Rattus norvegicus: one gene and its partners. The protein of the gene in region 2 purifies or fractionates together with the protein of the main gene of each other region. This does not show direct contact. Links are inferred from orthologs where the notes say so. Each region holds a gene or a part of one and is shown on either strand. Other genes may lie near its edges. The genes, in order: Erbb4, Lrig1 and Erbb2.

Region 1 (9,725 bases), on a different chromosome or scaffold from region 2:
CAAGACTCAAGGAGTAGAGAAACTTTCCAAGGCATAACCCATCTCCCCTCATCTTCCTAGTGACCTACTTCATCCAACACAGTTATCTCTCTTGATAAATCAATCACTCTGAATTCATCAATGCATTTCTCACAATAATGACATTAATGAAATTGGTTCCACCATCTGAGGGAGCTAAGGTGGGGAGGCGAGCCAGCAACGTGTGAGCCTCTTGTGGTGACTCTTCATAATCAGAACATAAATGGATTTTAGTTCCACATGTGAGTCCTTCTGAAGAAACCAGCAGCAGCGAGTCACTCGTGAAAGAGTGATGGGGAGTATCGGAAGATAAAGGTAGCAATTGGGACCATGACTTCATTGCAAGGAAGTGATGAGAAGATAGGCCAGGAAACTGAAGCTTAGTCCCTGTGAAGACATCTTCTTCAGGGAGAATGAGGACCTGCACCACCTCGTTCAAGTTGCAAAGTTCTTTTCTCGTGCCATACAGTTCTGGTTTCAGGTAACAAAAGGAAAACTGAACTAGCTTAATGAAAACACTACAAAAGAGCTTGAATCCTTTCCAGACCCATCTGGACTTTGTTCCTTTCAAATGGCTGTTTCATTCTTTCTTGTTTCATGGGCAGAATGAATGTGAACGTTTTCTTTCCCAGGAATAAAAATCCCAGGGAAGGGATTTGGTGGAAAGGACTGTCTCTCATCCAATCAACAGTGACAGAGGCATTTTTGTGTGTTTGACTTGTCCAACTTAGAACACACTAGAGTGTTGTAATGTGGATGCATTTTCAGATTCATAAGAACTGCGAGAAGAGGTATTCAGCAGATCATTCTTGCTCCTTGTTTGTGGTTGACTAAAAAATGAGTTACTTGTTTTTTCCCTCATCATCCCCCACAACCCCACCATCAGGCCTGGTTTCAAGTCTTAGACACACATTTTAGTCAACTGATAAGATTTCATTATAGCACCGCACTGCAAAGTGGGGAAATACAGAGATCTATTTCTGCCTCTGGCAATTCAGATAGCATGTCCTTCCCATACCAGGTAGAAAATGTTCTCTGTGATAGTTCCTCTTTGTGCTAATTCAGCAGACATGGGAAGCCGATGACAGCAGGCCTGTAAAATAATAATCCTTTTGTATTCTGTTTTAATCTCTGCCTGCTCAGGATAGCCCGTTCCTCTATACATGCCTGTTTCTGATATTGAAACGATCTAAGCTAGGCTTTCAAAACTAAGATGTCAGTATCGAACCTAACGTGCTTCTGTAAGTCATAGCTTTCATGTCCAGTTTGAGGGCTTGAAAGCTGTTGGCCAAATGTCAACCGAAGGCCAGGTCAATTACTTTTTGATTCAGTAAGAACTAGGAAAATATGGGTTAAGACAAACTGATCTGAGATTTAGGCACACATTATGGACACGTTGGCCACGTAATTGGTGGATATCAGCTCTACAGCGATGGTAACATCTATGATTGTAAGTAAAAGTCCTCGTCAGCTAAGAATTAGTCTGGAAAATCTAGGTGAAGTTAGACCATACATAGAGGTCCTGCTGTAGTTGTGCACCAATGTTGGTACAGGTATTATTTTCTAGCACTAAGAGTTGAACTAAGGGTTTCATGTATGCCAGGCAGGTATTATACTCTCAGTCCGTTGAAGGTCAATGAAGACAAAGACGTCCTCATAATAAGCACAACTAGAAAATACCGTGAGATATTTGCACATCTAATCTGTTTCTCACAACGGGAGTTACAATCTAGCTATTATAACTTCTTCCATTTCCAAAAATAACTGTCACCAGAAACTGGACTCTAACAAAATATACGAGCTAAAACTCCCCCCAGAAGTAGCTTGTTTTTGTCATTTAAATTGTTATCGTGGTGACAGATGTAAAAATGAACAGCTTTTATGGAGAAAGGGTACCTGAAAGTAAGCATAAGCCGTTGGAAGACAAGGAAACCGGGAGGAGAATGCTTTAAATGGAAGGAAGAAATGAGCATGGAGAGGAGATAAAGAAGAGAACAGAGCTAACATCCAAGCCCGGATGCGTGTACCTGTGCAGTCAGTCAGTGCCGTGCCATTCTAGTCAAGGTCCCATCGCTTGCTCTGGGCTCCGTTTTTCTCTGCCCTGGGCTGCTTCTGGGTAAAAAGCACACTCAGCTTGTTTGACCTACGGTGGGCCTGTTACACACTGTGGGGCCAGGGAAAGGTTTCAAGCTTCAAGCTTCTGTTTTTGCTCTCTTCAGCTGCCTGGAAATTCTTGAGGGATGGGGCCATAGTTAGAAGATGTGTGAGACCAGGAGAAGGACTCCAATAGTGACCGAGGAAGCAGGGTGGTTTGGTCTTAAAGAACCCTTGCCTTTTTTTTTTTCACTGCTTTGAGAGAAAGCAAAGAAAATGGCTTTTTAGAATAGCAGTACACATAGAATAACCTCTGACTCCCTACAGCTCTTGGCTCCAGCTTAGAGTGGTTTTGGACCTGTGGCCCCTCAGACCACAGTAATCCCTTCCAGGGCATTTTCGATTTAGAGAGACTCAGTCTTACAGCTGTTGATGACCCTGGAAGCACACACCCTGCAAAGTGAGAGCAAGTGCAAGGCCTCAAGCTGGCTCTGCTAAGGTTTAAAGCTAACGGCCTGAGTCCTATAGTTATGACCTGACCTCCTAAACACATTCAGACCGAACAGCACAGGCTTAAGATAGTTGGCATAATTTCAGAGTCAAAGGATGTGGTTTCACAAATATGGGTTTTTAAGTTTGGCTCAATGTCATCTTGGGAAGGTGGGAGAGACGGCGTCTTATTTGGGAAGACAAGAACTGTTGGCAGGTTTTATTTTACCTGCAAGGCTACCAGCTACCTGCAATATCCATTTTAAAGTACTAAGCACGGAACGTTCTGGGGTGATGGAGAGGGACCGAGATATTTTTTTTCCCAAAGCAACACTGACTTTCTATTTCTAGGGAAAGTCGTGCGTGTGGACTGATGCCTTGGAGCAATAAAGAAAATGTCCTGTTCTTGTGTCAAAAATTCCTTCAGCAAGCATTCCCTCTGGTGGACTGACTTCTCGGCGGGCCAGCTGTCCAGGGCCTCTGCCAGGGCAGTCGCAAGGGGAGCGTTTCAGACTGTGGTCTCCACTGAGCCTCTCAGATCCTGCTTCCCCTAGGAGCCCCTACCAACACCGTGCTCCCACTGCCTGACAGGTGTTTTCCCAACTCTAGGGGCAGTGGATTTTGGGGAGTGTCTGAGCCAATAAGATTTCTCCTTAGGGGGAGGGCGTGGCTACATGGGTCAGAGCAGGGGCGGGGCTTGCGCAGCGGAGGAAAGCCTGGCTGGTTGCGTGGAGGGTTGTTTGATTCCCACCCCCACTCCCCTCTTTTTTTCTTTCTTTTCTTTTCTTTTCTTTTTTAAAAAATCTTTCTCCCTGAGTCTTATTAATTTCTCTGTGGGGCTGCGGCTGGAGACCGCGGAGCGTTGGAAATGACGCTCGGAGCTTTAATTACTGCAATGGCTGGACAAGTGTGAGGAAAGCTGACAGTGGAAAAAAAGGGGCACAGGATCGGGGAGAAGGAAAGAAGCACCCCCCCTCCTTTTCCCTCCAGATTTGGACAGGAGATGCAAGGAGACTGAAGAGAGAGCTGAACATAGCCTGGTTTTGGGGGGAGAGGCCGGAACCCTGCCGCCTCTTCGCAATCAACTTTTTTTGGAAGCCTTTATTCCCCCTCTTTCTTTTTATTGTTGACCAACCAGTGAGAAGGAGAGAGAGCGAGCGAGAAAGTGAGGAGTGAACGGGCGAGCAGAGGATCACTCCGGAAACTAGCTGTACGGTTGTGCTCGGAGCACCAGCCGCACAGTCGCGCACACTCCCATCCGCGCGCCCTCCTTCGCGGCCCCTTGCTGGGTCCGCGGGTCCCCGGGTCCTGGAAGCCGCCACCAGCGCCGACTGGCTCGCCAACCCCGGGAAGCCCGTGCACAGAGCGCGCCGCGCCCGCCCCCCTCGCGCCCCCCACGCGCTCCCGGCTGAGGGGGGGAGATCTCCTCCGCGTGCCCGCAAGTGGCTATGGTATTTGGACATGTAATTGTCAGCGCGGGATCTGAGACTTGCCAAAAATGAAGCTGGCGACGGGACTGTGGGTCTGGGGGAGCCTTCTGGTGGCAGCCAGGACCGTCCAGCCCAGCGCTTCTCAGTCAGGTGGGTCGCGGTCTCGCGGTTCCCAGTCGCGCTCCAGCTGTTGAACCCGCCACCGCCTCCGGTGGCTCCCTTCTCCCCTCGTTCCTCTGTCACCCTCCGGCTTGAGGGACCGTAGGGACCTTGCTTCTGGCTTGGGTCGCCCCTTGCTCCATCCCAAACTTACCTTTGTGTGTGCGTGCGTGCGTGTGTTTTTATTGATGCTACAAATGACTCCTCTTTCTTGCCTCCCTCTGTATTATTGTCCCCCCTCTCGCCCTCTCTTTAGCCCCCTTCTTTCTTTCTGGCGCGTTTTCTGGGAGCCTAAGCGGGATCGCTTCTGGTGGCGCCCGTTGTTCGGGGCGTGGGAGACCTAAGCCCCGTCAGTGGAGGTTCCCTCCTCCTCCGGCTGGGAAGGGAAAAATAATCAAACCAAACCGGAGAATCTCTGCACCTCTTCGGGCCGCCAGGAGGTTCCCGGGCTGAGCCTGGCTGGCCTTCCCGGGGTGCAGGGCTGCGGCGGAGCGCGGCTGGGGAGCGGGGTTGGCACCTGAGCAAGCTGGCACGCGGCCGCCGGCCCGAGTCTCCCGTACCCTGCGGGGTCACATCGGACGCTCAGCCCTATCCGGGCAGCTGGAGCGCACCGGGTGCGCGCCTCGGCCAGAGGCCAGGGACTCTGGGCCTTCTTGGTTGGCATCTCGGGGCTGTCTTTCGATTGACTTGGGGCGAGAAGGGGGGGGGGGCTGGCTCGCCTGCCAGCAAGATCTCTTAAGAAAAAAAAAATCCTGGCATACTGAGCCCGGAGCCCGGCCTTCCCTCCCGGTGCTGGTCTTGGCTCCGGGAAGAGTTCTTCCAGTAGTGCAACTTGGGGTTGGCCTGAACTTCTGTTTACTGCCCCGCCAGGCTGCAGAGCCCGCGGGTGGCACTCATTGACTTAGCCCGAGGCGGGCCGGGTGGCGGCTTCCTGAGTGCCGCCACTGTTGGCCCGATCGCCCAAGCCCTAGGTATTTGGACAGAAAAACGACTAATTGACCCCGAGAGGCAGCACAGAGTCGCTGGCGTGCTGGGGCCGCCAAGGCCAATGACAGCGGCTGAGACGTAGAGGAGCTCAAAGTTTTTTGACTCTTGGGAGTTTCTCCCGGATGAGAGGAGGGGACACGAAAGGACTAAGGAGAACCGGTGTGTCTGACCCGGCTGAGAGGGGCGAGAAGAGGGCTTTTGGAGAAGGCAGAGAGATTTCCGGAACCTTCCGGGGCTGGTGGCGGGAACGTGGGAGTCAGCTTGAGAAGATAAAGCGTTCAGCAGTGGCGACAGGGAGAGCTTTAGGTCCCTAGAGGGTGTCCTTCTGACCTCACCGAGAAAGCGGCTGCTTGCTAGTTTTCCCGCTCCGCCCCCGCTCCCGCCTCTTCCTCCTCGCCTAGTAAATAACAAGTTACAATCTCTGAGCTGTTCAAAATGACCTTCGAGTGGCACAAGCTCGCCATTTGTGCTGGCCGTTTGCATACTCCCAGTGACTCCGAGATTCTTCGTGCATTCCAGATCCTGCGCTCCAGCCACCTCTGGAATCAGAGCGGCAGCAAGGACTTGAGATTCCAGGCGGCCGCCTAGATACATCCCTTTCTAGCTTCCCACTCGGAGCCCCTTGCCTTTCCCTTCAATGGGTTGATTATGCACATTGACCCATTCAAAGACACTCGCAACTGTCATGCAGGCTTAGCCGAGAGGAATTTCTATCAGGCCACCCTACCAGGGGGCTGTCTGGCATGGCCTGGGCCGCTGGGAGATCCCCCCTCAAGTCCACAGCAATTGGTATTAACTCTACAGCTCCCGGTTGGGCTATGCCGAAGAGCCCTTTTCAGAATTTAGGCAAGGAATGTAATCCAAATTAGTTCTGTAGCTGTCCCCTTCCGCGTCTCAGACGACACCAGCTTGCTCCTTAGCTCTCTCTGCTCCTTTCCCTGGGCGAATTGTCAGACCCACAAGTGAGCCCATTTAGAAGCACAAGGATTAGCGTGCCATTGTTGTTTCGTGTGTGTGTGTGTGTGTGTGTGTGTGTGTGTGTGTGTGTGTGTGTGACTCTGTACTTGAAATTCTGGGGACACAAAAGAGAGACTCACTTGTTCAAAACACAAAGTGATCTAGATGAAAGGGCCGCACAAAGAAAAGCTCTCGGGTGCATCCCTGGTATAATTGCAACAAGCATACTTAGGTGATCTATTGGAAACTGTCTGTGCCCCCAGGGACTTCTTTTTTTTCCAGGCGCCTCCACCGCACCTGGCAGAGAAAGTTCAGCTGGTTTTAATGTAGTGCTATTATAAAAACAAGACGCTGTCTGGTGAGAGCGAGGCTCTGTGTTTGCGCCTGTGCGTGTGTGGCTGTCTATCCAAGTAAATACATAGCGCGCGTCTCCTCTCTCGCGGTTAGCAGTCGGCAGCAGTTTGGAGGAGTTTGTTTTGGTCCAAATGAGAAATTAAGTGCGGATAAGTAAACTAAGCTGCCAGAGGGCGACAAGATGTTGAGTGAATTGCTTTTAGATGAAACAAATTAAGGAAACGAGGGAAGACAATCTGCTTCTCGCATTATTAGACACGCTTGGAGTTCAGGGGGAAGTGGCATATTTTTGAAATGCTAATTTCTTAAGCAGAAGGAATGCACCTTATTTACTGCTGGATGTGAACGGAATAAAAACATACAGTGGGTGATTCCCTTGTGCGATCTTCAAGATGTTTCTAGGGAAAATTTTACGTAGGAAAACTTGCTTTTCCTTCTGCTTGAGGGGGAAAAAGTCAGCTTTTGAGTATTTAAAAAATAATTCCAAGGAATTTATGTCTCTTTACCGGTGGTAAATATTATCTATAAACATTTTGGTCAAAGGCCTTTCTATGGTAATTCCACCTGGAGGAATAATTCTAAAATGTTTGCCTTCTTTCTGTGGTTGAACTTATCAACATCACTTTTTTACTGAAATAAAACTATACAGTTGTGTTGAAGTGACATTCTCACAAACCGTAATATGTGCTGGACAAGATCATTTTTCTTCTTATGTGCAAGCTATTTAGCTCCCTGCTTTTCATTTAATCAAAGTGTGCACATATCCTATACATTTAAGGTATATTATTCCCCTCCTCCAATATTCCAGTGGTATTCTACATTTGAGAAGTTATTAATGAAACTTAACGAGAAAAATATTACATAGATTTTTTTAAAAAAAATAATGCATGAATCTTTTCTTCAGAGGGCATTTGCAATGTTCATGAGCATAGGCACACTATCCCCTTTTGTTCCTTCAATGTTGAAAACCGTGCATGTGTACGAGGTAGCTTTATAGAAGAACGTAGTTTTCTTTCATTTGGAACACTTCTAAATGGATGGATACCTTGCATTGTAGCTTCAAATTACTTGAAAACACGGTAAGTTTCTATGGTTGAGGTGAAGTGGAATAACTGCTTCTGTCTTCATTGTTGATTTCTCTCTTCAACTCAACTGCCTTTATTTTAATCATGCATGCACAGAAACTCAAATTTCTCAAAAACACAACCATATATATATGATATTATATGTATATCATATACATATATCATTTAGTCTCTGAAAATGTGTCTTAATTAGGAAATTATGTCAGAATGTTTACTGGGGCTTGGGCTTGTATGTGCTGGAAGATTTATATATTTTTTATTCTAACCTGAATAGTGTGTGCATTGGCTGCTTTTTTTTTTTTTACAGTTTGCATTCACTTGATAGAAAATCATATTTCCTCCTCAAAGTGGATTCAAATATTTAGTATTCATGAGCTTTCATCTCTTTGGTTCTTAAATAGAAGTGCTATTTATCATCTGTCTTACACATTCACCCTTTCCATTACTAAGAATCCCTTACGTATTATTTATCGAGTTTAGGCACATGTGAATATATATTTCTCCCTTCCACCACTAAGTGTATTCATTTTGTATGTGTCTTTCCCAGCAACCTGCCACTCAGCCACTGCAGGAGTTCCCTAAGCCAGTTTTCATTCTTTCTCTCTGATAAATCTGATATGGCTGGTTGGCTGAACCATCGTAAGCCATTCCATTGCTCAGATTTATTCCTGAAAGAAAATAAAACGGCATCGATCCCAGATCACTAGGGCATCTCAAAAGCCCAGACTCCAAGGCCAAATCTTCCCACAGAGAAGTGCCTCTTTCCCTGTGGGTTCCTTCTTTTTTCCCCTTGACCATGGACAGGTGGATGACTGCCATGTAACAAAGGCTACTGACGAGAGGGAATTGTGCTCTTAGTATTCCCTGAAGCTTGATTACAGCCACTTTGAGATTAATGGCGATGTAAAGTGTACGTTTTACCCAGTGTGCCAAATTAGCAGATCTTCAATATTGCATTGCTTTTTTTTGTGCGTTGTCTGGTCAATTACTACAAAAAAAAAATTAAGTTTGTGTTTTCAAAATAGCTACAACTTTTGGTTTTGCAGTGTTCTGCTGCTGTGGGATGCCCACCAGTAAGTTCTCAAAACCTAAACGAAACAAAAGATCAGAAGAAATGTTTTGCTACCAACAAACCTATTGGCATTTGACCTGCTTAATCCCACATTTCTGAGAAATACTCTTTTTGTAGATATGTTCATAGCAACATTGAACTTAGCTAATGCATGTTCAAATCTACAAGAGTATAATGAATGTCAAGTATAAATGTCAGGACCACCCTGTCATCCTTTACAGAGATATACTGAATGTGCTATAGAGGACAGAAGTCAGTCTTATTACCAGCTTCCCCCAGATCAGACAATCATAGGTGGTCTGTTTGGTTAACATTTCACCATATGCAACTAACTTGGCCCCTTTTTTTCCAATATTCATCTTGTGTAATAAAATATTGAGTAGTCAGAGAAAATAATTTTGTTATTGCTAATAAAGTTATTAATACGAGTTTATGGATTATAATGAGAGAGTATTTTGATTTATTTATTTGTTCTGAATTAAAAAAATCTGATGAAACTATAGCACTTCTGTATAATTTTAAGGAGACTTTACATGTCTATATAAGAAAGACAGCATAGACCATACCATAAGGTTTAAATCAGGACTTCTACATCCTAGGGACAGTTCTAGGCTCCTAATGTTGTCAGAATCATTCCATGTCATTGTGAGTTGGGTTACCTGCCTGGGAGGCCAGGGAATGCATGTAAGATACTGCATATTTCTCTACTGTGTAGCAGTTTTCCACAACAATGAGTTTAAAGCCTTCAGTGATCCTGAGATATATTCTAGTAACCTGTTAAGTGTTTCTGTACACGGAATTCAAGTTGTACATACAATTAAAACATTTGTGCATACATTTGTAAACACAACATAAACTCCACAGCAGGCTGTCTCTGTTTGGAAAGCACCCATTTAAAGAAACAAGGAGGATCTTCACTTTCTAGCACTTACTCGGGAAAACTCTTTCTCTCAAATAACACCTTTTGGAATTGCTTCATGGTGTCCTCAGATTTCATTGTTCATGTATCTTTCTGAGTTTGTCAGTATTTTGACATAATTTTTTTAAGCATTTATTTTTCTGAGCTTTAACAGCAAGCTT
Region 2 (9,886 bases):
CACTGATTCTTAAAATAGTGCCTCGAAGGGGGACAATGTGATGAGGATATGGCTCAGTTAATAGACCTCTTGCCTAAGAGTATGCAAAGCCTTGGGTTCAATCATCCTTACAGATCTTTTCAACATGGTCTCATAGCAGAGAAAACTTTGAAAGGTGCAAGTACCCTCAAGATCTATCTGTAGGGCTGGGGGTGGAGCTCCTCAGCAGGAAAGCACAGTTGTTTAGCATGTCCCAGGCAGTGAGTTCAGATCCCTAGCACCACAAAATAAATAAATCCATCTCTACCTCAAACAACCTCCGACCCCAAATCGAAACAAGCTCAAGGTCTGCTGAGCTCTTAAAGTGACATGAGACAAAAGCGAAAGAACGGGTAAGGAGGGACTGTGAACCAGCTGGGTACTTCATGTAAACATGCAAGCCTGCACACTCGCGCACGCACATGCACACACACACACACACACACACACACACACACACACACACACACACACACATAGCAGTTTGGATTCTGAAAGGATTGGGTCATCTGACTTGCCTAAGATAGAAAGTAATTTCCAGAACCTTAATTCACAACACTTCGCACACCTAGCCCTTGAAGCGCAGCTGTAGAATCAGACAGACAGGGGCTGTCCTGGTTTCCCAACTCTCCAGTGAAAGCACAGAATACATATTGCCTAATGTAGCCTTAACCACCACTTAAACCAGCAAAGCTAGATTTGAGCCAGCCAACCTGATACTGCAAACACATAATACAAGAGAAGCAAACCAATCCACACTCACTACCGGGCCTCAGGATGACTACATTTGGTGCCCTTTCCTAAAGGCCCTTGCTTTTGAATCCCTGTCCCATTCCTCCACTGAACAAGAATCCGAGAACTGCCCTCCTGAGCCTGCCTACCTCCCACTCCCAAGAGGCCATCAGTTACCTCTCAGAACGTTAACAGCAACATATTTTGTAACTAAACTCTCTGCTCTAATTTAGACAGGTGAGAAACAGTCTAAAGTAAATCTATAATAGTTTTTAAAGAGCTTCTGAAATCATGCTCTCAAAAATAGTTTCAAGGAAAACAAACACCTAAGTTCTAAGAAGTTCAGCCTCTTGTAAGGTTCTGGGAGGTGTGTGGCGCTACTTGTGAGTGTTCTGATTGGACCATGCCGATCTCACCTATGCAACAGGACAGGCCACTCGGTTAGGCTCCACCTCTCTAGCCATAAAGAATATGATTATCCTCAGCCTTGGAGATCCCCTCCATCGATGCTGGTGATGCTACCCTCCATTTTTTTACTCACACTAAATTTTTATTCACTATTAAAAACTTTTAGCTTCTCTACACTTGGCCTAAGGACAACTCCAAAAGTAGATATGTACTGTTTACAAAAATGGGAGGAACCGATAAGCCCAGGACTCTTGCTATCGCAAACCTGCAGCCTGGAACTGTTTGAGCAGGCTGCTGTAAATCTACTTCACAGGCTTATAAACCAGCTCGAAGCATTTTCTAGACACAATGACCTTAAAAGGTGTAAATCCAGTGAAAATGCAAGATACTTCATTGTATCATACACGGAGACTTTCTCCACTGCTACCCTGCCGAGATAAAGGCAATGGTTTAAAAGGAAGGCGCTGGTCTTGGAGATACAGTTCAGAAGGAGCTGAGCGCCTAGCATGCTCCGGACCTAGGCTCAACCCTCAGTATCAGCAGGGGAAATATTTTGAGAAATATGAAGGTTAGGAGACAATTCACACTTGATTGCACTTTAAGCAGAAATAAAACAAACTTGTAAGTATTCTTCAAAGCCCTCCTCCCGTGTGTGTGTGTGTGTGTGTGTGTGAGAGAGAGAGAGAGAGAGAGAGAGAGAGAGAAAGAGAGAGAGAGAGAGCTCAAGCACACTCGCCCAAGTCACCACATACTAACCCAGAACCCAAACTCCTTGAATCTTAAAACTAATCCATTAAAACCATCTTCAGTAGAGTCATAGCTCCTGAAGCCCAAAATACCTAGTCTGGTATTTATTGATCATTAAATTGTGTGAGTAAGAGAGACTGCAATTTTAAAGGTATTTATGCTGTGTGAATTGTCACTTGTAGGCAACCAAAAGCTTAAAAATGACTAGTTGAGTTCCACTCCAAAAAAGGGCAAGGCAAGGTGGGTCGTGTGACAAAAGGCAAGCACAAATAAGAGCTCTCTCTCCAGGAAGTATGGTTCAGGACCTGAGAGCATTCCTCAGGTTCACCCATGACACAGGCTTTGCAAATCTCCCAACAGGTGAACACTTGAGAAGATATTCTGACTCTACCCACATGGTTCTATTATGTCATCATCATCATCATCATCATCATCATCATCATCGTCATCGTCATAATAATAAAAATCCCATCTTAAGTATGAGAAAATAAAAAACCTGAAATACCTCAAACTGCCTCAACTATTACTAAATAAAATCTCAGCAAAGAGCAATAGTGTGTTCACCTCCCAGGAACTGACAGAGCCACAGGGTTAAAACCCACTCTAAGACCACGTATTTTCAGTAGTGAATTCCACAAGGGAAGCAGCCGCTGGGGGGAGGGAGGGGCAAAAGGCAGCAACAGTAGCAAAAGGGTCTCAGCTGGCTTCAGAACTCACACAGCAGCCTGCCCAAGTGATGACGTAGAGACCTAGGCCTCATTCTGAGAACACAGAGTCTCCTTATTAGAAAAGAATTAACTTCTCTCCTTCAAGACAGTCAGATAGTCAGGCCCCGGTTTTCAGCAATGAAGCCACAGGTGTGAGTTAAAGCCTGCGTCATTGATTTTCTCTTTTTAAAACAACAAATGTCATGACTGAAGCTACTGCTGTACTTCTTTATGTCCTAGGAAAGACATTCAAGTGAGAAGCAGACTACTGAAGCTCGGCCTTTTTCTGAAAGGTACTAATAGTTCTAGAGATGCTAATTACTGATAGCTGAGCAAGATTCGACTCAAAAGTCTTTTTTTTTTTTTTTGAAGTATAACAATGCTATTCTATCCCACTACATTTACAGAAATCCAACGTCTTTTTGTTCCTGACAAATGTCCTGCAAAAAGTATCCCACCAACGCCGGATAGGCCCAAATCCCAGCAACAGAGAAATGTACCTCTGTGGGGTGAAACAGACTGACAGAGCCAGCCAGACCCCCTGTCAATGTCTCCTGAGGTAGCTTGTCAACTAACTTGTGCCATTTATGGAAGAGAAACTCGAGGGTGGGACCAGACCCACCCCAGTGGATCAAGCCCAAGGGGACCCCAGGGAACAGACAGGAAAGGATCTGGAACACAGTTCCTGTGCATGCCAGCCATGCGGAAAAGAGGGAACAGCTACACTCAAGACATGTCCAAGAACTCTCTCAAAGCTTTTCGATTTCTGGGTTCTCCGGAGCAGGGTCCTTTTGCCCTAGTCAGTGCCAAATCAAGCTGCCACCATTCTCTGGTGATCAGGAGACTGCAACACACGCTCACTAATAAATAATATAAATAGAATGAACACTGGAGATGAGCGTCACCGTCATTCATTACTAACTGGAGGTTAAGTTGAGGGAACTCAGGACACCAAAGGGCTGGGTTACAGAACAGACAGGAAAAAAGATACACACACAGATCCTAACACAAGACTCCCACACTCTGCCATCGTCTATCTCGCATGCACACAAATTCGCTCACCTCCACTCTTCACTCACACACCCACATACACGCACTTCGCGCTCGACAGCACACTCACTCACCTTCAAGTCACAAACCCGTGGTTCACCTCCACGCCCCACATTCGCTGGCCTCCACACTTCACGAAACACATTCAAGTCACCCCTACACGATCCCTCATGCCCTGCATCCTCACGAAAACACACGCTCGATGCAAGGCAGACTTCTCCAGAATCACGCTCACCTTCAAACCCCAGAGGTATAGTCCTCTCTCCCGAGCTCCCCACGCGTGACCTCCACCCGGCCACCCAAAAGTCTCCCAGCCCACAGAGCGCACTATCTTCCCCGCTGAGAGCACCCGCAGCCCCGTCTTAGTGACAGCGCCAGGATGAGAGGCGAAGGCGATACTCACAGGCTCCGCGTCCAGGAGGGCATGTCCCGGGGCAGCGTCGCCAGCCCGCGCCCACTGCAGTCCAGCGAGTCCCCGGCGCAAGTGCAGGCGGCCGCGCAGGGCGCCCGCGGACCGGCCTGGGCGACCGCAGACTCTGGCCCTTGCAGTAGCAGCAATAGCAACAACAGCAGCCAGAGCAGAAGGCGAGGCGCAAGGCGCGGGGCCCCGAACACTCCCGGACCCGGCCGCGCCATCTTGTCTGGAGCGCGCCGCGAAGCCGGGAAGCGAGGGCTGCGAGGTGCCGGCGGCCACGGGCCCGGGTTGCGCTCGGCGCTAGGCTCCGCGCCGGGGCATGGACGGCCGGCCCCAGTCGGCTCCGCGGCCGCTGCGCTTAGCCGGCACGCTCTGCCCGGGCCGCTTCGCAGCACCCTGCGGAGACCGCCACCCCCGCGCCCATCCGGGCCGAGCCCCGCGCGCGGCGAACTCTGCAGAGTCCAGCGGTGAGTGCTCGGCCGCCGCTGCTTGTCCTTCCCGCCGCGTTGCGCGTTGCCTTCGGAGCCCGGGCGCACGCCGAGAGCCGCTGCTGCTGAGGACTGAGAACGCTTAGCCTTGGTCTCTGCGCGTGGCGCAGGCGGGCACCTCCGGGAGGACTCTTGAGCTGATAGCCGTGGACCCCACGCGCCTCACCGTCCCGGAGCGGCCGGAGCGCACTGTGCCTCGGAGCTGCGAACAATCAGCGGCTAGCCCCGCTGCGGTCCAACCCCGCGGCCCCAGGCCCCGCCCCGGCTGCTCGCCCTCACACACCCCTCCGCTGGGGCCCCCGGGCGGAGAGCGGCCCACGTTGGCTGCTGGACTACAGCGTTACGCCCCGCCCGGCCCGTTGCTCATTGGCTTCCGGAGCCCCGGTCAGCTTCCGAGCCCGTAGGAGCGCTTGCTCTCCGAGGCCCCGCCTCCGCTCTCTTTTCCCACCCAAGGTGTGAAAGGCGGGGACTGGGCGGGGACAAGGAGGGGCGTGCTGTCTCCTCTTAAAGGAGACTTGCAGGATTTTGGCTACGGAGTACCAGAATCTGGAGAAGTGGCCTAAGCAACGGTCCGTTGAGCCTAGGGGAGGAGAGAAAGTTGGGACTGTAATCCAGGACTTTGGGAGCCATCTGGACCCAAGGTTTGTTCTGCTCTCCTAGACTACAAACAGCATGGTGGATTTACAGCAAACGAGCACCCTTTTTTCAGGTGCCTTACAGGAGAAAAAAAAGATTTAAAACTTTCGCGAGTTTCTCAGCTATTTCCTCAGAGGCGGGCAGCCTTTCTCATTTCTGCTCCAAACTCGTTCTTCTTGATATCTAAAATCCAGAAATGTGTCCTTGACTACCGAAATGAATGTATGCGAAGAAATTGAATCTCGAGGGCACGCCCACCTTCCCCGCTCCTAGTTAGTTGATAGTTCGGGAGGTGCTCTGGACTGGATAAAGGGGCAAGTTGTTGTGGTGTTGTGTTTTGTTTTTGAATATCGGAGCTTTTAAATACAAATACAGTTTTCAGGAAATTATCCGTGACGTACTCTTTATGGAGAGAGAGAGAGAGAGAGAGAGAGAGAGAGAGAGAGAGAGAGAGAGAGAGAGAGAGAACCTGTGAGTTTGGCACATACAGATCAGCATAGATTGGTAACCGCCTTGTGAAATAGTGCCTGGCCGTAGGTGAGCGCGCGCGCGCGCACACACACACACACACACTTAATGGAGGGGGTGGTGGAGAGAGAGAGAGATTAGCACTGTAATACATATCTGCCGCCTCTGGGAGCTTTGACTTGCTGGTGTCTCAACTGTACACACAGTCAGGGAAACTAAGGCGCTAGAGTCTTCTGGAAAACATTTGTTCTAGCATGCTAAATCTAACTTAAGTTTTATAGAAATGGAGTAGAAATGCTGTTCATTGGGAAAAAAAAAACCAAACGGTTAAAAGGTTTTCATTACATATTCGACATATTCAAGAAATTTGCTTCGATGCTAAATGTGACTGTCCCTCAAGTTTTTTTTTTTAAACCAAAATTGGACCTGAATTTAGTAGTCAAGTGATTATTGCCTGGTGGGCTGTGCTTTCTCTCTGTGTCTCTTCCCCCTCCCCGTCTGTCTTCCCCCTCTACACACACACACACACACACACACACACACACACACACACACACACACTTCTTTTTTGATTGTTTGAGTCTCATCCTGTAGGCCAGGCTCCCCCAACCTTTCCATCCTCCAGTTTCAGCCTCATGAATAACTGGCTGGCATTACCAGAGGGTGCAGCATGCCTGGCTTTGCTTGCCATTCTCTTCATCCTCCTATCAGCCTTCCCTTTCTCCTGATTGCCTACATCATCAAATCAACGCTGTCCGGTTTCTCTCCCTCTTTTCTGTTTCTCTCAGAAGTGATGTTGAAGCAGTGATCACGTGTGCATAAATTAAGCTAAATGCAATACCTCAGAAATATTAACAGAAAAGCTCCCAGTAATAAGTGCACACGTGAACAGGAACATATGCACTGCACACGCAGTCCACACAAGCATATACCTTCCACGAGGATAAGGAGAAACCGGTCTCCTTGTTTTCACCCCTTTGGGTGGAAATAGTAAACTAGGGACAGAGTACAAAAGATCTGCAAACTGGACGAGTCTTCTATCATGGGGCTTAAGTATCATGGCACTCAAGCCCAATCAACACAAAAGAGAACATTTTAAAGATTTAGTTTACTTTTAATTGCCTATGTGTGTGCATGTGTGTATATATAAGTGTGTGTATGTGGGCATGAGTGCAGGATGTCCGAGGAAGCCAACGGCCACTGTAGCTTAATGCAGGTAGTTGTAAACCACCGGACACGGATGCTGGGAACTGAATTTTCTGTGAGAGGAGTATGACATACTTTGAAACAACATCTCACTATGTAGTGAGGTTAGCACCAAACTTGCAGCAATCCTCCTGCCTCGCATCCCAAGGGCTGGGACAAAAGAGTAGTTTAGACCAGTAAGCTGAGAGAATGAAAGAGTAATTTGATCCCTGAAACCGACAAGGTGAAAGGAGAGAGCTGACTCCTGCAGGCTGTTCTTGGCCTCCATGAATGAGCACACACCCAAATCTAATTTAAATTTTTATTTTAAATTTGCAATGATTTTTTTAAATGTTATGTGTATGTGTGTTTTGCCTACATATGCCTATGTAGCACATGCATGCCTGGTGGTGCCCACAGAGGTCAGAAGAGATAATCATATCCCCCTGGCACTGGAATTACAGACAATCTTTAAATAAAAGAATAATTTAATTCAGAATGCTTGTGAGCAGCATGCCCTTAAAGAAACTTCGGGTCATCCCCACACCACCCCTGAATCAAACCACATACTAAACACAACTGATCACACTTCATGAAACCCGGCTGAAAATTACCTTAAGGTTGGTCACAGTAGAGTGTTAACAAAATGTTTTCAAATGCTGTGGGTGGGGCTATGAGATGCACCTGGGGACTCCAGCATCCTAGAGGACAAGGTTTGGGGATCTGCAAGGTAATTTGCCCCCCAGATCCACAGCATCCCCTGTGGTCTGGTTACCACACCACCAGAGAAGAGGATTCCAAACCGAGAAAGTCTTTTGGGGAACGGGGCGCCTGAGCCTTGGCAGTTCTTCTCGTCTACGGCAAAGCATGAAGTCATGTCTGCTCCTCACACCATGTATGGAAGTCTGCCCACAAACTAGCAACCTGCATGCGATTGCAGCAAGAGTGTGGGCTGGAGAGCAGAAAGCCAGCTTAGGAAAGAATCATCTGTGGCCACAACCTAAGATCAGGAAGGGAACACCAAGGGAGACTCTTAAGGAAAACTGCCTGCTAGAACAGGTCATGATCCTTACAGCACAGAGCTGATCCTCCTTCTTAATCTGTGTTTTGTCTGTTTATCTATTTAATCTAACGCTTTAATATTTTTTAACTGTGCCTCATCTGGAACTTGATAGGTAACAAAGAAATGACCTTACTGCCCTGATCCTCCTGCCTCTACCTCCTGAGTGCTTGAGCCATCTATCCAAGCATTCTAGATTTTACAGTTTGCAGAAACCAGTGCCCAGAACCAACAAGCGTTCAACACCCAGAAGAATTGCATCCAGAAGTCTCAGCAATACATCATGTTAAACCCAGTACTAGAAACCCACAAACTGCACTGAAAACATAGACACACACACTATAGGAAAGGGGCCAGCAAGATGACACTGTGGGCAAATGCACTTGAGGCAAAAGCCTGAGGACTTAAGCTCTAACCCCAGAGTCCATATAGAGGTGGAAGGGGAGAATCAACTTCACAAGGTTGTCTCTCGACCTCCACACGTATGCTGTGGCATGAGCACACCTCCCCCAACCCCCACGTACTTTTTTTTTTAAATCAGGAAAGCAGGTTGATCATGGGGATTGTTTGAAAACCCACCTTTCAAGAGTTGGAATTATGCCTTCTAGGTATTAAAAGAGAACTTACATTATGTTTGGTGCACTAAAAAATATTGGAGTCTTCAGGATAGCTCAGTGGTACCACCCTTGCCTGGCATGCACAAGTCACCAGTTTTGCGATTTAATAATGATAATTTTTTAAAACAAAGTTCCCCGAGCAGGAATCAAAAGACCTGGCTCCAGCCTTGTTACTAGAAACCTTTGTCCAGTTACGTCTTTTCTTAAACTTTAGTATTCTCAAATGGCACAGGAGACTAATTCCTTCTGCATATGAGAGAGTTTAAAAAGAAAAATGATCTAGTTTGAACTGGGGAGCTGGCTCAGTGGGCAAAAATACTGATTTTACAAGTGAAGCATAGGTTCTGAGTTCAAATTCCCAGCACCCATATAAGACCCTGGGCTTAGCCTGGAGCCTCAGAGCTGTGGGAGACTGAGTGAGGAGGATGGCCAGGCCTTGGCATCTGTCAGCCCAACTCCAAGTTCAATGAGAGGCCCTGCTCAAGGGCAGAGAGTGGTAGAGTAGTTCACACACCAAGGTCCTTCTCTGGCCTTCCCTTACAGATGCATGGGGCACACCTATGCACAAGTGCTGAACACACATTCTCACACAACGCTCCATTCGGATCAAGGCACGGGTGTGTTCTAGGCAGTGTAGCACCACGCATACCTAAGGCTTCCTTTCTAAGTGTTACTAAATTTAAACTCTGAAACAACAAAAGTCCACGATGTTGATGGAGATAGAAAAAATCTTTCTTATTCAGGCATGCCACAAAGGGTTAATGATTACCTGTAGAACCCCTAAAAGTTCAAGAGTGATGACAACCCGCTCTGAGCCTGTCTTGTACTTCTCTGCCGAGAAAAAATACAACCGTGTACTCATTAACTCCTTCTTCCCAGTAAGCTTGTCAAGGAGATGGATGGGGGAGAGAGTAAGAGAGAGAGCTAATGAGTCTGGGGATGGCATATGAAAGAGAATTTCGACATCTCCCCGCCCAGTGCCAGCATTTTCTTCCAAGAGAGGTGAGAAGAGGTGGGTTTGTTTGGTTGTTTGGTGGGTTGGTTTTGATTGTTTGTTTGTTCGTTTTTGTGCAGTTCCTGGCTCTGGCAGTGCTGGCTAACGTCAAACTGCAGCTGCTGTGCGTCCACAACCAGAACGTGTGATGCTTGGGGCTCAGCTGTGACCTGCGCAGGCTCCTACCCTCCTCCAAGAACTATTAATATCAACTAACAACTGTGTGGGCCACTCCTGGACACAAGCCATATCTTGGGGACACTTGTCATTTACCTGTGAATTTCCAATTTTAACTGACTCCACGAGAGGTTTTTAAAAAGTCACCAAAGCTATGACCATTTCAAAATCCTGCAGTTCCCCA
Region 3 (9,917 bases), on a different chromosome or scaffold from region 2:
TGGGGGGAAGGCGGGTGGAGGCTGTCTTCACATACAAAGGCCCACGGGTACCTGAGCTGCTGACAGAGACTCCCTATAGGTTACCGCTTTGCCTACCAGTGACTGGGTGCAGATTCAAGGGACAGTACAATGACCAGTCTTGTGGTCAGACTTTAGGAGTCCTGCTGTCCCAGCTATGAGGAGCTTAAAGCCAAATCCCAGTTATTTTCTTGCCTCCAGATTTGAGGAGGGCTTGCAGGGCAAAGGCTACCCTCAGTGGCACCGAACCTTCTCGTCGAGAGCCTCTTCTCCAGGAAGACAGGGAAGGAAGCAAGGAGGGAGGACGGGAAGAATCAGAAATAGAACTCAAAGGCTCATCCCTTGGATGGAGGGGAGACAGCCAGGCCTACCCACCCCACACCGCACCCACTTGCACCCTACCCTCTGTCTTCTTGCTCAGGCCCCCCCCCCCACGCACACACGCCCGCCCCACCAAGAAAAATGGGAGCTAGGGGTGGCAGCCAAGCCCAAAATAACGTCCTGCTGCCAGGACCTCCCCCAACACGGAAGCCTCAGCTGCTTATGTGCACAGCTGTCTCCCAGATCCCAGGTCCAGCCAAGCCGGGGACAGGGATGGCACAGTCGGAGTAGAGGCCCACCCTCTGTGGCACTTTACCCCTGCAGCCCTCTGCTGCCTCATCTCCGAGGCAAAGGACACCAGCTGCGGTAGCTAAGCAAAGGGAAACAACAGCAATCGCCATGGTAACCGAGCTGAGTACCTACTGTATACTTCAGAGACTGAGGCTACTGCCTCTATTTTACAGAGAAGGAAACTGATCCTTCCAAGGTCGTACCGCAGGCTCAGCAGTATACCGCTTGCAGAGCGTGCGCAAAGCCCCGCATTCCAATTTCAGCAACACAAAGCAGGCCAGAACCACATATAACATCGGAGTGATAGAGGCTTAATTAGAATCCAGGTTTCCACAGTTCCCCTGTTTCTTCCATTAAACCTTACCAGACTCATGCACGCACACACAAACATACCACACATACACATACATGGACACACCACACACACATACACATACATGGACACACCACACACACACATACACATACATGGACACCCCACACACACACACACACACACACACACACACACACACACACACACATATACATGGACAAACCACAAACACATACACATACAGGGACACACCACACATACATACACATACATGGACACACCACACATATATGGACACACCACACACATATACACATACATGGACATACCACACATACATGGGCACACCACACACACACATACATGGACACACACACACATGGACATGGACACACCACACACACACACACACACACACACAAACATATATAGCATACATACAGATACATGGACAAACCACACACACATACACATATATGGGCACATTGCCCACACACATACATGGACACACCACACACTCAGATACATGGATATACAACATACACATATACACCATACGCACACATACACATACCAATGCCACACCCCCCACAAACATAAAACACAATAATAATTCTCCAGTGAGACCAATAAACACAGAGGCTCAGGCAGGGCAGGGTGGCTGGGCAGGGCAGGGTGGCTGGGCTAGGCAGGAGGTCAGAAAGAGTGGCAGCCACACCCCACTAGCCAGTTTGTTTATCTGATTTGTGGTTGGTTTGAGTAAGAGTCTTAAAGTGTTTGTAGACAGGTGGGAAAATTGGTACCCCGAGACCTCCTCCAGGGGAGCTCAAAGCTGCCAGCTGACACCCCCCACGCAAAAACACACCATGCTGACATACAGCCAAGAAAGCCTTTGGACCCCTTCCAAGTCTCGGCCTCCCTCCCACTCCCCACTCTTTACCAAGCTCTCCCCACCAGCTCTGACCACAGTCCCCATAACTATCCTGTCCCAAGAATTTCAGGGTGGGGCAAAAGGCTCTAATTCTTCACGGGATCCTCTTTGCCACCAGGACTGGTGTCCCCTTCAGAAACCCCATCTTCCAACTCTTGGAGACAAATGCAGTGTCAAGCAGGGCCATCACAGAGCGAGGCCACGGCCAGTGACTGCTGGATAAGCATCTACTGGAGGGAGGAATGAATGAATGAATGAATGAGTGTGAACACCATCTAGTGAAGCGCTTCCAAGCTGAAAACAACAGGTACCCATCCCTCTGCTCAGTGCTGACCCCAGCCCTTTGGGTCCCTCCTGCTGAACACTAGTAACCAAGGTTTAACTCCTAGTTTCAAGCTTCTCTTCTCCTGTGGGTTCTTGTCTCCCAACTGGTTCACACTGTGTCCTTTCTTGTCTTCACTGGCAGCAGCACTGAGGAGAGAACCCAGGACCTCCTGCATCCTGGGCCCCCAGCTGCTATCTGGCTTACAGTGTGAAAGCCAGAATTTTCCTTTGGTGTTGATAAACCCTGCCAGGAAACTACCTACATCCCCAAAGCTCCCCAAGCAGGTCAGAGGCCAGAGCTCACTCAAGTGACATCAGGACTCCCTTGCCACACACACCTGCTCTAGGAAGCTGGTGTCGGAGTGGAGTTTAGACTCTGGGTCTTTTATCCAGAACCTTGGCTCAGCCACTCTTGCTTGGGCTACAGGAAGGATATGCTCAGACCTCCAGGGCAGAAGCTAAATAAGACTGAGCTCTAAGCCCAACAGCGACTGTGACTTAGTTGGCCCCTCCGTGAATATTTACTGACCTCAGTTTGGCAGTAACAACTCTCACTCCCCTCCGAGGGCCCTGAGCGCTAAAGGAGAGGAGGAAGAGAAGCATTCAGTAAATATAAGGACGCTCTGTAAACAGACCCGCAGCAAGCCCAAACAGCAGCTTTAACGACTCCCTCTCTAACCGCCTGAGGACAGAGGTCCCCTGCCAATCCTCTGCCTGACTGGTGGCCTAGCAAATCACAGAACTGTCACTCCCTGAGACCCCTGAGAGCTCTCCACAGGGGAAAGGAAAGGGATTCTCCTGGGATCAGTCCTTCACTCAAGGGCAGACACACCTTCCCTGGATCCTCCTTTGCTTCCCAAGCCCAGCGTGGGCTCCACTAGTCCTCTGGTTTCCACTTTAACTACCCACTTCATTCCCATGGGTCTGTATGTCCTGGTGGTCTCTGCACCTTCCTGCCCTCCATTCCTGGCACTATCGAGGGCCCAAGAGAAAGGCTAGCATGTGCTGCACACAAACTCTGCAGCCAGGAAGGCACCCCAGGACCCCATCTCGGGGTACCTTCTCCAGCCTGGGATAGGGGTTAGGAAGGCCACACTGAGTAACAGAAGAACACTTTTCTGTGTGACTGCCCGGCTGCCATGAGGCTTTCCTAGTCCATTCCTGTTTGATGACTACAACTCTGACCACCTCTAAAGGCCCCCCCGATACGTCTCTTCACTTCTCTGAAGTAGAGCTTTTTTCTGTACACACCTGCTCCACAGGACAGCGCAGAGAGGGCACAATGCCATCTACGAAAAGGGATCTGCTGTGTAGGAAGCACACAGAAGTTTTTAGAACGGGAGAGACGCACTTAGAAGGATCTGGGTAGTTACAGGAGAAAAGAGAAAGACCTTCCCATTTGGTTTTGAAATGCGGTATATTTTTCTTTTCTCTTGTTAGGGTTTGTTTTATTGGATGTGCGTGAGTATTTTGCCTGCCCTTGTGTGAACACTACACACATCACGCCTGTGGAGGTCAGAATTAAGCATCAAAGCTCCTAGTAGTGGAGTTACCGGTGGTCGTGAGCCACCGTGTGAGAACTGGGACCTGAGAGACCCCCAGGTCCTCCTCTGCAAGAGGAATCTCTTTCGTCCCTGTATAGCAAAAGGTAGGAGGGGCTCGGAGAGAATCATACTAGAATTGAAATAGATATAAGCCTTGCAAAGGTAAAGACCTGTGTTTACTGCGTTTTGCAAAACCTTAAGTACATAGAAGCCCAGCAACATCTTGACTCTCTGGGCCTCTCCATATCTCCTTTCCCCTATACACCTGCCCAAGACCGGTTCTGAGGTAGAACCCGGAGCTCGAGGCAGCGGATGGTGCACTGCCTTTTTTTTTTTTTTCTTTCTTTTTTTTTTTTAAAACCATTCCTGGCAAGACAAACCGTCTTACCCCTCTGCACCTAGCAGTGCATCTGAAGGGATGACGTCTCAGCAGCCCTCCGCTCTGTCTGGCGAGCAGACCCCTCCCCCTCCTGCTCCACAGCACAGAGCAGTTCAGTCCTGGCCAGCAGCAGACCCAACTCAGGGCAAGGGCCTAGCCTCACTCTTCCCAACGGAAAGTCAGAAGGAAGGCTGGCCTCCTGAGAAACTGAAAGGAGACTTCAATCCCAACAAGGCAAGGGGCATCTCCCAGTGTTTACAACAGATAGAGCCCAGAACCTTGAGGGAGTTCCTAGAGAGGGCAGAGTTCATCCCGTGTCCCCAGGTCAGCAGAGAGATTGCTATTTGGCAACAGAAACCCGGACGGACGCACGAACACATAACCATCATAAACACCTCAGACATACAGGGGTATCCCACAGAAAGCACAGGGTGTACTGATAGAATGGGGGCCGGAGGTCGGGGCATAGATGGTGATACCCCACCAGCCTCCAGGCTCCCTGGCCTCTGGAAAACATCTACTGCTCCCAGAACCTGTTTTCTGCATCTTCAGTACAGCCCACTGATTAGGGAAGCCGTGTCCCCACTGTCCTGGTAGACTCGCATTTCTGTGACTCATATCTCATATCCTGTGGCTGGTCACACTGCCTGGGGTCCACCGCTTATTCTATGATACTTCATTTCCCCAGCCCAGGTTTTCACCCTGGGACAATGAGAAAGCTACTAATGTTTCCACTGTGGAGTTGTTCTCAGTACAGAAGAAGGAATGCGTGCAAACCGCCACCCACGGAGCCTGGCAGAGCTGACCCACAAGGAGTGACTATCGGCTTTTACGCTTATGGTAGAACTGGACATATGGGTCGGTATACACACTGCCGGGTCACCCTCCCAGCCCCCAACACACAGACAGAGGCAAGAAAACAACCTCTCTGTCCACCCTTAGCTGACCTGACTTCTTTTCGATGCCCTCCCCGCAAATGTCCAGGAACCCTTCCGACTTTACTGTACGGAAGCCGGAAAAACACAAGACCACCCTTCAAGAGCCGAGCTTTCCCAGAATCCCAAAGCACACAGTACTTAAGCTGGCTCTATGGAAATTTGTTCAGAACAGGTCTGTGGAGTATGCAGCCCAGTGGTAGAGGGCTTGCCTAACGCGCGAGACCGGGATGGAGGGTGGGGGTGTCCCATCCCCAGCACAGAAGAAAGAGAAAGAAAAACTGTTCAAAACAAATGCCTGCCCCTCCTCCCCTGCTCCCCCAAATCCCAGACACCGTCAGAGAAGCAACTCAACGCGGACCCGCCACTCGGTCCTCCCTGCTCCACAGGACGGGTTACTTTCCCCCACCGCCCCCTCCACGGCGACCCCGCTGGAAGCTGGAGTAACTTACTAAACCCAAAGGGCCGAAGGGGGTGGGGAGGGGGAGGGGCGGGGCAGAAGGGACCCCGAAGGCATCCTCCCCAGTCCGGTCCGGAGGCGGAGGCTGCCAACTGGAGGAGCTGAGAAAGCGTGAAGGGGCTCTGAAAGGGGGAAACAGGCGCACGCACGCACAGCGCTTCACACACCCTCCGGAGGAAAACTTTCGGACCAGTTTCAGAGAACTTTGCCGAGGAGTTCCCGGAGTCTCCTGGAGTCCGGGAAGCTCCGGTGTGGCCAGAAGGGGCCGGTCTGGACTTCCAGTGTGGTCCTCCGAGTGGCTGTCCCATCCCCAGCTGCTCCGATCTCCTCCGGGCCGCGGTGCCGGCAGCCGGAATCGCCCCATCGCCCCGGACCTCCCGGCCGTAGAGCTCTCGGAGCTCCGCGGCTCCGGCCGCCCGTGGGCGCAGCCACAGCGGCCAGAGCCCTTCCCAAGCCAAGACCCACCTTGGGTGCCCGCGATTCCGGGGGGCAGGAGGGCGAGGAGGAACCCCCAGCGGCACCAGGCCGCCAGCTCCATGATGATCATTGCGGCTCCGGCCCCATGGCTCAGGCTGGACCAGGCTGCGGGCGCGGGGCGCGGCGAGGGCAGGCACAGGCGCGGCGCCGGAAGGGGCCGCCTGGGAAGGGGCGCTCCTGGGCTCCGGGTCCCCAGCGGCGGGCAATCTCAGCTCCACAACTTCACGCCGCACTTCCTCGAGCAGCCCTCCTCCTCCACCTCCTCCTCCGCCCGTGATTGGGAGCCGCGCGCTCTCGGCTCGCCCCCCCACCCCTCCAACTGCATTCCAGCAAGACTGGGAGTGGCTGCTCCCAGCTTCACTTTCTCCCTCCCGGCGCAGGCCTGGGTGCGCCGTGCCCTGTGCCCCGACGCCTAGCTTGCTTGCTTGCTTGCTTGCTTGCTTGCTTGCTTGCTTGCTTGCTTGCTTGCAGTTCTCATCCACTTCCTAAAAGCACAGCATCCCTTTACCCGTCTTTGCAGTCTCCGGTTTTATCTTGAACACTCCTGGGACGTTTGCATCACCCTCTTGATATCAAATACTGGGTCTGCCGCCACATCCTCAGGTAAAATCGACAGCCTGGGAAGAGGATGTGTTGTGTTAACTGGTGACTTCCAGGACGCTCTGGGATATCAATTCTATACTTTTGGGTATCTCCAGCCTGATCTTAGAGGAACCCACAGAACTAAGAGGAGACAGTCACATGGGGTTGGGGATCTCGGTCCTCGGAAGAACAGCTTCGCCTGTTTCTTTTTTTTATTTTTTTCTCTTTTTAAGACTTATTTTTATTTCAAATTATGTGTATTCATATGTGGGTTGGGGGGGTGTCACATAAGTGCAATTGTCCACGTAGGTCAGAAGAGGAAGTGGGAATCCCCGAAGCTGGAGGTACAGGCAGTCGGGTGCTGCCCTCTTTGGTGCTGGAAACAGGACTTGGGTCCTCTGCAAGTGCAGTGCATGTTCTGAACTGCTAAGCCATTTCTCCAGCCCCATGCCTGCTTCTCTATGACTTCACACAGTACTCAGTTTCATTCAGCGTCTCCTCTGTCCCTGTCCTTTTCTCCTGCCAATCTAACCCTGAAATACCTAGATGCCACTCCTGAAGCCTGGTGACAGGTGAGGAACGGGAAGAAAGGCATGCCTTTTGTTGGAAATTTCAAGAACACATGGCAGGAGACATGTTTACACGGATGAATTACCGTCGTTTATCTGAAATTCAAATTGAACTTCATTGCAACCTTCCTTTTTATTTGCTAAATCTGGTGATGGTACTTGGAATGTTCCAGTCAAGGACACACCTGTGCTGGTCAAAATGCAATCGGAGTTGTCTTTGGGGGTGGGAAATGAAGGGTGGCCCTCACTTAATCTACTTTCATTGAACTGAAACACAGTTTCAGGTAGACACTTCCACACTAGGGACCAGAGAACATGGGACTCTGGTATCCAGAAGACCTGAGTTCATATCTTCACTCTATCACATACTAGCTGTGTGACCTTAGGCAACTAACTGACCGTCTCTGAATCTTGTTTTACAAATCTGTAAAACTGAGAAAAGGGCTAGAGGAGAGAGCACTCTAGAAGCACTCAGGAGGGTCGAGCTTGACATATAATAATTGCTCAATAAATGATCCCAGATTAGCAATTCTGGGGTAGATGGGATGTTCATGGGGATCAATTTTAGGTGTTCCAAGAGAAAGAATACAATATTATAAATCACACCACCACACCCAGAAGTAGAACCAGAGGGCTGAACCTGTGGTTTGGTTGATAATGTACTTGCCTAGCATGCACTGGGGCAGGAAAGAGGAGACAGGAAGGAAACTGAATAGAGGGAAAAGATGTATGTGAATCACATTAATAAGAATCACATGTGGATATATATAGATATATATACACATATACATATATGGATATATATATATATATATATATATATATATAGAGAGAGAGAGAGAGAGAGAGAGTAGGTGATGATATCCAGTGATTTACGTGATTTACTTCTTGGATCATTGTCAAGAATGCTCAACAAATACTCACATGTATTATATCCCTATTTTCAGCTGGCGATAGTGGCTCACCATTAGAATCCCGACACTTGGGAAGTTGACGCAGGAGGATTGAAGTAAAAAATATTAATAATGAATGAAATACATGCAATCATACACACACACACTCCTATTTGAGATTATGAAAATCAAGAGTCAAAAAGATTAAGACGTTCGCCCAGGACATCTTAAGGCGATGGGAATTCGGAGCCACAGCAAAGCTGGATTCTTACCCCAGCCCATCTTCCGGCCCCTGCCCTAACCTAGGTGTCCTTCAGAGCTGTAACTCCTCAGCTCTCCTGAAAGACGATATACTAACCTGGGTTCAGTGCCATTGCTGGCTGTCCCTTCTCTCCCAGCCCCGACCCTCTCCTGCTCTCCATCAGTGCAGCTGAGAGAGAGCTAAGTAAGGATGGCCTGGACATTGAACCCCAATTGTATCATTCTGCAGGCACCTCCCTCCTCTCCGGACTCCCTGAGGTTCCAGGTATTGTATCACTAGTCTTCATTTTGCAGAGCAGGCACCCTGAAATTCTAAGCCAGTGGTTCTGTTCTCAACCTTCCTAATGCTGGGACCCTGTAATACAGTCCCACGTGTCGTTTTCATTGCTACTTCATAACTGTAAGGTTGCTGCTGTTATGAACCACAATGTAAATAGTTTTAGAGAGAGACGAATTCAGAGGGGTCGCGACCCACATTTTGAGAACCTCTGTCCTAAGCGGTAACTGCAACTTTGTAAAGTCATACACAGCTGAGCCTGAAACTAAGCCAAGAAGGCTTTGGCTTCAACATTATCTTCACGCAAGGGACCCATAAGTCATCCCTCTCCTAAGACTGCTGTAGTGGCTCCTTCATCAGCCACCAGGGTCCCTCCATCTGCAAAAATACCTCCTCCTCTCTCCCTTCTTCCTGCAAGCAAGCCCACGTACTGGGCATCCCAGACCCCTGGAAGAAGCCCAGTACTGTAGACAATGCTCAGCCCTAGTGGGCTGCATGGAGGGCGGGGCCTGGGTGCGGAGCTGGCAAGGGGGGCGGGGAGGAGCTGGGGTCAGAACTCACGCCCTGGGGAGGAGGCTCCGGAGGGCTGAACCTCCCTGAGAGAAAGAGTGCATTCAGAGCCTGGAAGGAAAAGGAAAAACCTTCTCTGGTGTTTGACAAGGGGAGAGGAAGGGGGGCAGGGTGGGCGATGCCGTTTTGATTCTCTGCTCAACTGTCGCTTTACTAAGGCCTGGCAGGAGAGCCAAGGAAAGAGGATGTTTGGGGACAAAGACTGAAGGGGGAGACTGGGGAGAAGGGGAGGGGGGTCGGAGGCTGAGAGTTCGAGACAGGCCCAGTGAGGGAATTTCGAAGACGGACGGGGAAGAGAAGTTGACTATATTCCGGGCCAGAAACAAGATTCACCTGAGAAGATCCTGGGCAGCAGAGAAGAGGCAGTGGGGGAGGTCATTGACATCGAAGGCACAGGAAGGGGCTCTGGACGCTGGAGGTGACCTCTAAGGGTCACCAAGCCAGGGTCTGAAACCAGTGGCCTGTGAAGTGCCAGTCAATCATTGACCAGCCTGGGGGGCACAGAAGGTGGTGGTGGTGGTGGTGGTGTGTGTGTTATGTGTGTGTGTGTGAGACGCGCGCGCCTCCCTTCTGCCTACCTCACCAGCCAGCCCTCAAGTCAGAGCATTGAAAACAAACAGAGAAAGGGAGGGGACAGTCTGGTCCACAGTCCGAGGTCCATGCCACAATCTAGGCCCCACTAAGGAGCTTTGAGACTGGGATGCAGCTTGCAAAGGGAAGTGTCTATATGGATTAGTTACTAGGAAGGAGCTCCCTCAGTGGACACGAG

The links.
Region 1: the proteins of Lrig1 (region 2) and Erbb4 purify together in Homo sapiens (affinity purification with western blotting; 3 studies listed by BioGRID and IntAct, with this or other methods). This does not show direct contact. The link is inferred for Rattus norvegicus from reciprocal best matches to the Homo sapiens genes LRIG1 and ERBB4.
Region 3: the proteins of Lrig1 (region 2) and Erbb2 purify together in Homo sapiens (co-immunoprecipitation; 4 studies listed by BioGRID and IntAct, with this or other methods). This does not show direct contact. The link is inferred for Rattus norvegicus from reciprocal best matches to the Homo sapiens genes LRIG1 and ERBB2.

Annotation. Positions count from the first base shown.
Region 1 is NC_086027.1:78,039,948-78,049,672, reverse strand, and holds the start of Erbb4 (receptor tyrosine-protein kinase erbB-4 precursor), read left to right. Parts: upstream 1-4,066; 5' UTR 4,067-4,099; coding exon 4,100-4,181; intron 4,182-9,725. UniProt on the Homo sapiens protein: Tyrosine-protein kinase that plays an essential role as cell surface receptor for neuregulins and EGF family members and regulates development of the heart, the central nervous system and the mammary gland, gene transcription, cell proliferation, differentiation, migration and apoptosis.
Region 2 is NC_086022.1:128,783,441-128,793,326, forward strand, and holds the start of Lrig1 (leucine-rich repeats and immunoglobulin-like domains protein 1 precursor), read right to left. Parts: upstream 4,780-9,886; 5' UTR 4,299-4,779; coding exon 4,066-4,298; intron 2,268-4,065; exon of another isoform or gene 1-2,267. UniProt on the Homo sapiens protein: Acts as a feedback negative regulator of signaling by receptor tyrosine kinases, through a mechanism that involves enhancement of receptor ubiquitination and accelerated intracellular degradation.
Region 3 is NC_086028.1:83,903,855-83,913,771, reverse strand, and holds the start of Erbb2 (receptor tyrosine-protein kinase erbB-2 precursor), read right to left. Parts: upstream 6,172-9,917; 5' UTR 6,067-6,171; coding exon 5,985-6,066; intron 1-5,984. UniProt on the Homo sapiens protein: Protein tyrosine kinase that is part of several cell surface receptor complexes, but that apparently needs a coreceptor for ligand binding. Essential component of a neuregulin-receptor complex, although neuregulins do not interact with it alone.